2 linked regions of the Coturnix japonica genome follow. The protein of the gene in region 1 interacts with the protein of each later gene in a biochemical or structural test. Links are inferred from orthologs where the notes say so. Each region holds a gene or a part of one and is shown on either strand. Other genes may lie near its edges.

What was found.
Region 2: the proteins of RGS4 (region 1) and GNAO1 form a complex in vitro, tested with the Homo sapiens proteins (2 studies listed by BioGRID). The link is inferred for Coturnix japonica from reciprocal best matches to the Homo sapiens genes RGS4 and GNAO1.

Annotation. Positions count from the first base shown.
Region 1 is NC_029523.1:3,576,539-3,581,115, forward strand, and holds the start of RGS4 (regulator of G-protein signaling 4), read left to right. Parts: upstream 1-1,329; 5' UTR 1,330-1,536; coding exon 1,537-1,580; intron 1,581-1,874; exon of another isoform or gene 1,875-1,897; intron 1,898-2,601; coding exon 2,602-2,706; intron 2,707-3,480; coding exon 3,481-3,542; intron 3,543-4,341; coding exon 4,342-4,508; intron 4,509-4,577. UniProt on the Homo sapiens protein: Inhibits signal transduction by increasing the GTPase activity of G protein alpha subunits thereby driving them into their inactive GDP-bound form. Activity on G(z)-alpha is inhibited by phosphorylation of the G-protein.
Region 2 is NC_029526.1:479,829-484,380, reverse strand, and holds the start of GNAO1 (guanine nucleotide-binding protein G(o) subunit alpha), read left to right. Parts: upstream 1-1,310; 5' UTR 1,311-1,569; coding exon 1,570-1,687; intron 1,688-1,760; coding exon 1,761-1,803; intron 1,804-4,552. UniProt on the Homo sapiens protein: Guanine nucleotide-binding proteins (G proteins) function as transducers downstream of G protein-coupled receptors (GPCRs) in numerous signaling cascades.

The sequences.
Region 1 (4,577 bases):
TCTGGCAGCAGTCACATTAGAACTAAAGCATTTTAAGGTTTATTGGAGCACTTAATGCTCCACTTAATGAACATCCAGGGCATGTAATGAACTGAAAGGATACAGTGTGCCAAGGCAAGTAAGCTAGTCCAGGAGTTGGGTCTTCTGTGCTGCATGCTGGAGGCTGTAGAGACAGTGGAGGGTAAAGATTACCCTGCACCTTTTCTAGGCTGTGGACAAAGTGTTTCAAGTGTCCTGAGGGAAAGGGAGCCCAGCAGTGGGCAATGTGGGCAGACAGCCTGCTGCTGAACTGAAGCTGCTTTGTTTTACAGGAGCAGCCTGTGCGCATTATGGTGTATGACACCCTCTTGCAATGATGGTACAGATTGTGCTGAGGAGCAACTCAATAAGTATCAGCCAGCTTTTGCTTTCAGAGGGGCTGCTTTCAGCCTGCTTCTGCCTTCTGTACCCTCCTGGGGGTGAGGAGAAGCAGCACAGCTGGAGTCATTCAGCTCTCCTTTGGAACTACACCAGAGCCAGGCAGTGCAGCCAAGCATCCCCGTGCTCAAGTGTGAGGTACGTCCGTCCTTTAGCACAGGGCAGCCTCAATGCTGCCGGGAAGTCTCCTCCAAGGAGGCACTTCTATGCCTGTTGTGTTGATGCATCCTCTCCCCTTGGTGCTCAGATATGCTGAGTAGCAAGGCCTGGCTTTTGCTTAGGGGCAAATGCAGATGGAGAAGTGAGGTGTTAGTGATACCCATATTTCTAAGGCAGCCATGTTCTCAATGCCTCATCTTTTTTTTTCCTACACATGTGCACGAGCTGCCTTTAAGTACAAATGTGCTGGAACTAACTCATTTTGTATTCCGGTGGTGATGTGCCCCTCAGACCTTTCCTTTCAGCCTGATCAAAGGCACATATGCACACACCTCCAGAACAAAAATACCCAGTCTCATCGGCTTGGGCAGTTCCCTGGTGAATTCACAATCCTGTTTCCTCACAGCTCCAGCTTCTGCACTTGCTAAGGCTGTGAGAACCTATGGGGTTTTGAATTTTTGTCCCTTATTTTCCCTAGGTTCCTTTAAAAAGAATGGGAGAATGAACCAAGGGGCTGGCAGAACTGATTCCCCTGACCCTTTTCATTGTGCCCCTCTGAAATCTTTCCCCAGCTTTTATCTGCACCATTCCGTGTTTTGCGACAGAGGAAAGCCTCTGGAGCTTTTTTTCATCCTTTGCAAAGAATCTACCTCTGCAGCCACCCAGCTTCATTTCTGCTAAGGTTTTCAGTCCCACTCAGCCATTTGTCTCAGCTTATACGTCACCCTCTTCCTCTTGGGTGGGCAGAAGGGGGACGGTGCAGCTGCTGTGCTGGCTGCTGACTGGGTCACCGAGCGCTGCTGGGCTGGCTGGGCTAGGCTATAAAACAGAGCCACGCCAAGCAGCTGGTTCACAGGCAGACCGAATTCTGCAGCCAGCAAAGGACCTGCGCAGCCCCTGCTGCCTCCTGCCTTGTGGTTATTTGTTTTCCTGGAATACAGACCCGACCTTGGGAGCAAGATGTGCAAGGGACTCGCTGCACTGCCAGCCACTTGCTTGAAAAGGTACTGTTTATTTCTGAGCATCTCTTGTTGGTCTTGTTATGTGGAGATACGTTGATGCGTTGCACTTTGTGTCTGAGGCAGAAGTGGCAGATTTGGCTCTGATTGCTATGTAAGATTAGATACAAATGATGATTTACAGGATTTTTACTGTTAGTCAGAGTTGCCTAAGGGATTTGTACTGAGCTGTGGGAACGCTAAACCCATCCTTCCCATCAGCAAAACAAGCAGCTCACAGCATTGCTCTGCCTTGATATTCCTGTCATCTGCTTCTGCTGCAAGCTTTGCACCTCTTTTCTGCTTTCAGCGCTCTATCTCTGGTGAGTTTCCTTTTCTCTGTTTCTTTGAGGGGGAAGCAAGGCAGATATGATTCCACAACAACCGGGGCTCATTCCCCAGAACACAGCCTGAGTGCAGAAGCCAAGCTTTGCAGGAGCAGGAGACCAGGGCTGATGTAGGGTCTGGCTACGCTCTATATGTGGCACTGGCCAGGCTACCCCTGTGCTGGCTGAGCTGCCTGTGTACCCCCAGCACCACAACCTGCCCCACAGCCCAGTGGGTATTCTTGCTCTCATCTGGGAAAAAAAAAAGCTGCCTGATCACCATGGCTTTGGAAGCAAATAATACTGGCATCTTCCTGCAGGAAGGCATTAGTAAGCATAGAACCAGACACTGGTAGCTGGGCAAGTCAGTTCAGGGAGAAGCAGCACGTTTAGTGATAGTTTTCTATCACAGTATTTTAAGTGGAAACAATTAGCAGTAATACAGCAGCTTCTCCCCCTTTACCAGCCCTCCCTGCAGGCTGAGGAGCTCAGCAAGATGGTGCTGCTGAGAGTGACAAATGAACACTGCTGTATTTTGTCTAGCAAATGAAACAAGGAGTGAAAAGTCAGCACTGGAGCCACTGGATGTGACCTGCTTCGGTCTAACTGAACAGTGCTGAACAAGCTTACTGAAGGCAAGGTGGCTGCAGAGGGAGGTGTAGTGCATTATCCTCATGTCATTCTTGAATTATTTCTTTCAGTGCCAAAGACATGAAGCATCGTCTGGGTATCTTGCTGCAGAAGTCAGACTCCTGTGACTATGGCTCTTCCCAGGGCAAGAAGGAGAAAGTATCTCCAAGCCAGAGGTAAGAGCTGTGCTGCCATGCAGTTGAGCAAAGGTTGGCTGCAATGTGCTGTTTACTCCTGCAGTGAGATGGAGTCATTAGCATTTCTGCTGCCGCTGCTTCTTAGCACCTCCTGAGCTCCCATGTGTTTGAATCCAGAACTGAGTGCACTCTCAGTAAGTCTGCAGATGACACCAAGCTGGGAGGAAGTATCAGTTATACAATGGTATAGAGTGGGGCAGAGTGGCTGGCAAGCTGTGTGGAAGAAAAGGATCAGGAGTGTTTGTCAATGCTCAGCTGAACATGAGCCAGTAGTAAGCCCAGGTGCCCAAGAAGGCCAACAGCATCCTGTCATGTATCAAAAATGGTGTAGCCAGCAGGAGCAGGAGGTGATCATCCCTCTCTACTCAGCTCTGATGAGGTCACACCACAAGTGCTGTGTTCAGTGTTGGGCCCCTCACTACAAGAAAGACATTGATGCCCTGGAGCGTGTCCAGAGAAGGGCAACAAAGCTATGAAGGATCTGGAACACAAATCTGATGAGAAGAGGCTGAGGGAGCTGGGAGTGTTTAGTCTGGAGGGGGCTCAGAGGTGACCTTATTGCTTTCTACACCTATCTGAATGGAGGCACAGGCTGCCTGGGGAAGTGGAGTCACTGTCCCTGGAGGTGCTCAAGAACCACATAGATGTGGCACTGAGGGACACGGTGTGAGTGGGCTGATGGTTGGACTAGATTTTCTTAGCGTTCTTTTTCAACCTTAATGATTCTATGATTCTCCCTTTTTCTCCTGATAGGGTTAGCCAAGAGGAAGTCAAAAAGTGGGCAGAGTCACTGGAAAATTTGATCCATCATGACAGTAAGTAAAGAGTTTCCTTCTGCGGGAGATGCTGAGGGTTCTGCCAGCAGCCAGCATGCCTAGAGGTCCCAAGAGGCATGGGGTGTTATCTTGTGTCTTTTAACAGCACGAGGTAGCTCCTTTGACCACATGGGCCTCTGGGAGGGTGCTGTATGTCAGATCCAAGGGGTAGCGAATGTGGCTGTATCAAGAGTAGGGCTTTGGCTGATTGCTAGGCTGTTCCTTTTGTGAGGGCAACTGTTCCACTCCTGTGCCAGCTGATTTCAGGAGCAGCAAGACTGCAGCACGCAGTTAACACTGGGTTAAATAAGGCAGAAAGCAGAGAAGCTATTTCCTGCTGAGTCCTTGGGAGACTTTGTCTTCCTGTCAGTTCCAGACCACTGATGCCCTTGAGGTTTCATTCACGCCATTCCCATGGACTGAGACACTGCAGCGTATGCTAGCTGGCTCCTCGGAGCCTTCTGGGAGCATGCAAGTTGCTTGTGTTCTGGCTGAGCCACTGAGGGTCACGATATGGGGGTAGGCAGCTGAGGTCCCACATGTGACATCCCAGTGTGACCTGCCTGAATTCCAGCCTCCTTTGGCCTGCACGAGCTGCTGCTGTGGAGGCTGGAGCTGTTGCCAGCAGAGAGGAATCATTCAGTCAAGGGTAATCCAGAACTGCTGTTTGCTGAGGCAGTGGTGTTCATCGGTGTTGACTGAACCCAGAAATTAATGCTCTTATTTGCTCTGATTTTCCTCTATAAACCCTATATATTTTCCTCTATAAACCCTATATATTTTTCTCTATAATCTGTAGGAGGACTGGCTGCTTTCCGTGCTTTTCTCAAATCTGAGTACAGTGAGGAAAACATTGAGTTCTGGGTCAGTTGTGAGGACTACAAGAAAACCAAGTCACCAGCCAAGCTCAGTCCCAAGGCCAGGAAGATATATGATGAATTCATCTCTGTGCAAGCAACAAAAGAGGTATGTGCACAGAACATTTCTTGGGCATAGATACCACCCTAGGTCCTGAACCAGGCCAGAAATAAGGAG
Region 2 (4,552 bases), on another chromosome or scaffold:
AACAGGACTCCAAGGCTGGCAAGCTGCTGGGGAGATGGGCAGTAGATGCAGCCATCTCAAGAGGACACCGCCTCTGGATTTCTGGATTGTGGTTTTCCTATTCTGCACTTTTCATAATGCCCTCTGGCTGGTACCATTGAAATGAAACCTACTGATTGAAATTCTGATCCTATTGATTTTACACAGGAGATCTGCTCAAGTATGAAAGAGCAGGAATTGCTCCGCAGCCACCCCCACCCCCACCCGCTCCCTGCTGAATACAGGCAGTAGGTTTGCTTTCCCATGCAGGTATACCCTTTTCCCCTGGGCTCCCAGAAATAAATTACCCCAAATTCAGATATTCAGTACCTATTAGCTCACAAATGTTCGGTAAATACCGCTGGCCCTTGAGTACGCTAACATTATTTATGAGCTCCCTTTTACTTCCCTTTGTCTGCTCTGCCTCACATCTCTGCTATACACTGTTAACCACATGCCACGCTTCTCCCCTTTGTTTCAGAGGTGTAGAAGGAAAATGGAAACGGTGCTTTATGGGAAGGAGGTCATATAATGTCAGCCTGTGCCCAGCCCCACCTGGGCCGGGTGTTTCATTATGGATAGTCACAGCGGGCAGCGGCCCCACAGCATCCTTCTGGTTCTGTTTGCAGGGAGGTGGAGAGGGCTGTGGCAGCAGCTCTGTTCCTTCAGTGAGCTCCTCGGCCTGGCTGCTCGTGGCAGAGGGCAGCCTGCTCCCAGAATACAGGCCTTGGTTTCATAGAATCAATCAGAGCTCTCCCTTCCCTGGGTCCAACCCCAGCTCACCCCACCAGGACCACATGGCACGGCTCTGACAGCTCCATGGATGGTGACTCCCCCCTTCCCTGCGCAGCTGTGCCACCGCCTCACTCTTAAAGAAGGAATAGTTCCCAGTCCCCAACCTGACCATCCGCGGTGCAGCTCGAGGTCACTACCTCTCACCCCGCCGCTGTTATCTGGAGCAGAGGCCGAGCCCCCCCCCAACCTGCTGTCAGGGGTCGCAGAGCCATGAGCTCCATGCCGAGCTCCATGCCGAGCTCCATGCCGAGCTCCATGCCGAGCTCCTCTCCATCTGACCCAGCCCGTTCCCTCATGCGCTGTGCTGGGAGCATGCGCGGTACTCGCGCGTCACGGCAGCGGGCGAGGCCTGCGGAGCGCGTCCCCCTCCCCCGGCACATCCCGCACATCCCGCACCGCCGCCGCATCCCCGCGCCCCGCCAGGCGCGCAGCCCGGAGCGGCCCCGCCCCGTTCGTCACGTTCCTCCTCCCCCTTCGCTCCTCCTCCTCCTTCAGCTCCGCCCCGCCCCGCCCGCGGCCGCCCGCGCTGCCCGCAGCCCGTGGATGCGCTGAGCGCTCGGGCACGGAGCCGCCGGCCCCGCCGCTGCGGAGCCCGCAGGCCTTTGTTAATCCCCGCGGCTGTCGGCGTTGCGCTGCCCGCAGCTCGGTGCGCCCGGCGGCGGCGGGGGCTGCGCTTTTTTTTTTATCCCCTCCCTTTTTTTTTTTCTTTTTCTTTTCTTTTTTTTTCTTTTTAATTCCATTCAATCCGTTCTCGCCATGGGATGTACCCTGAGCGCCGAGGAGCGGGCCGCCCTGGAGCGCAGCAAGGCCATCGAGAAGAACCTGAAGGAGGACGGCATCAGCGCGGCCAAAGACGTGAAGCTGCTGCTGCTCGGTGAGCCCCGCTCCGCTCCGCGCCCCGCGCCGCCGCGCCCCGCGCTCACCGCTTGTCTCTCTCTGTCCCGCAGGGGCCGGAGAGTCGGGGAAGAGCACCATCGTGAAGCAGATGAAGTGAGTGCCGCGGGGCGCGGGGCGGCGCGGAGGGCCGCGGGCGCCATGTTGTACCCGAGGGCAGCGCCGGGCGGGAGGCGGCGGCCGCTGCTGTTCGGGGCCCCGTGGTGCTGAACGCCGGGATGAGGGCGGCGGGGCGGGCGGTGGGCGGCTGCGGCCGGGACCGGCGCTCGGGAGGAGGAGGAGGAGGGAGGGGGAAAAAAGCACGAAATCCGCCCGTAATGCGGATTTAAAGCGAGGCTCGCTGCCACCCAAAGCCCCTTTTACCCGAGATTTGAGCCTTTTAATTAATGAGAGGCGAACTTGGCCGCCGGTCGCCAATTATGTTGAAAACGGGTTATTAAAAAGGGGAAAGGAAAAACACGCGACCCAACGCGCCCTGAAAAATCAGCCCTGCCTTCATGCAGCACCTCCCTGACAGCTGTGCCGGGCCCCAATGGGAGTGGGCTGACATGGCTGCCCCACACCGTGCCCCCAGCACACAGTGATCCCAGCACGTGGCCAGGCGGTGCTTCCAGGGGGAGAGCCAGCGGGGCTGTGGGAGAGCATAATGAGGGGTGGGAGAGCCTGTAGAGGTGTGGGAGAGCCAACAGAGGTGTGGGAGAGTCAACAGAGATGTAGGAGAGTCAACAGAGATGTAGGAGAGCCTACAGAGATTTGGGAGAGCCTTGTAGAGATGTGGGAGAGCCAACAGAGGTGTGGGAGGGCCTTTAGAGATCTGGGAGAGCATATAGAGATGTGGGAGAGTCAGTGGTGGTGTGAGAGAGACAACAGAAGTATGGAAGAGCCATTGGAGATGTGAGAGAACCTATAGAGATGTAGGACATCATATAGAGGTGTGGGAGAGTGTACAGAAGAGTGGGAGAGTCAACGGGGGTGTGGGGAGCTCAATGGAGGCATGGGGATCCAACGGAGGCATGAGAGAGCCAGCAGAGGCACAGGGAGCTAATGGAGGTGCGGGGAAGCCAGTGAAGGTGCAGGGAACCAACGGAGGTGTGGAGGTGCAGAATTACTCCATTCCCTTTTCTTCCCTTTAATTAAAGCCCATCCAGCCGCAGCCTCCCACTGGAACGAGCAGGCGCCATAGCTGTGCATTGGGGCTGGGTGTCACGGTGGTAGAGGCACGGAGCGGTTCTTGTTTCCCGATAGGGAAGGAGCCGGTGTCTGGGAGGGGCCGTGGGGCGGGCGGTGTGCCCGATGTGCCCGGTGTGCCCGGTGTGCCCGGTGTGCCCGGTGTGCCCGTAGCCATCCGCAGTCCCTCCGCGCTGTCCCTCGGGCGCGGCGTGGCGCGGCTTTCAGGCGGTTCTCGTGGTGGACAGCGCCCAGCGGGGACTCGAACCGCGGGGAGCGCAGCGCTCGTCTCCTCCCTCGGCGCTCGGCTGCCTTCGGAGAGCGCTCGGGGGCGGTCGGGGGGGAGCCGAGCAGGCTCGGAAATAGCCGAAGGGGCTCGGGCGCCGCTCGCCAACCCTCGGGCGTGGGCTCGCCGCGGGCCCGCAGCCCGGCGCGGTGCCGTGATTGTACGGGGAACAGCACATCTCCTGTAGCGGGGGGGTCCCAGAGGACCGAACCACCGTCCCCGCCCGAGGCAGCGTTCTTCCCATAGAGCTGCAGGGCTGTGGGAGCGAGCAGCCTCGCCCTCGGTGCCGTTCCATCCGCCTCTCCCGCTGCTATCGGTGTGCAAAGGCTCCGAGGCCCCGTCAAAGGGCATTTGGGGATGTGGGGCCGGGAGGATCGGTTTGGTTTGCACTTGTTTGTATGTGAAAGGTGGATCGGGAGAGGAACTGCTGCAGATGAACACCACTAAATTATTTAATCTCTAGGAATGGCTTCTGCAGGAGCGTGCTGGAATGGCGGGCGATGCTTTGGTGGAAGGAGAGGCTGTGGCTGCCACTGGAACAGCGACAGCGCTGTGGGTGAAGGGGCAGCTGTGGCCATGGTGCCTTACACAACCACGCACGGGCTCCTGTGCCGCGGGGACCAGAGCTCTTGTTGTTTAAACGAACTGGTTCCAGATAAAAGCCGGCTGGCTGGGCTATATTAGTAGAGTGAGGGCTGAAAAACACCCTGTTGTAGGTCTATATGTTGAAGGGAGCAGCCCTAATGTGGCACACGGCAGCCTGCAGCCTTGTGCCTGAGGATGCGGAGCTGGCTGCCATGCTGGGAGCTCCGGGCGAGCAGTGGGGCTGGGTGGGGACGCGGCAGCAGCCGGGGGGAGCCGGCACCGCAGGGGAAACCAATGCTTCTGAAAATGAATTTAAATATAATGCAGGCATTAGCATTTCACCTGGTCAAGCTCCATTACACGGGGCTTGCTGAGAACCTAATGAATTCTTAATAAAGATGAAATTGCGCGTTCATTAGATTTTGATGAAAGAGACCGCTGCTTTATTTTTTGTAGTGCTGTGTTATTGGTGCGCCTCCAGATAATAAATCTCATCCCCGTGAATGGCTACAGCAGGTTCACACTTGGCTGTCGCCTCATGAAGGAGCACAGGAATGTGCTAAGACAAAGGAGGGGAGAGCAAGCGTTGTTCACAGAGAGCTGAGAAGAGGCGGTGTGCTGCTGGTTAGTGCTAGAGATACTGGGTAGGGGGAAGAGCTGGCAGGTAGAAACTGCAGCACCTGGAGAGTTTAGGGAGCCTGGGATTTGGGGCTGATCAGCGCTTGGAGGTGCCTTTCAGTGGGTGGGGAGCAGCTTTTACCTGGCAAATCTGGGGCTCCTTTGAAGATCCCAGTCAGAGGGTGAGTG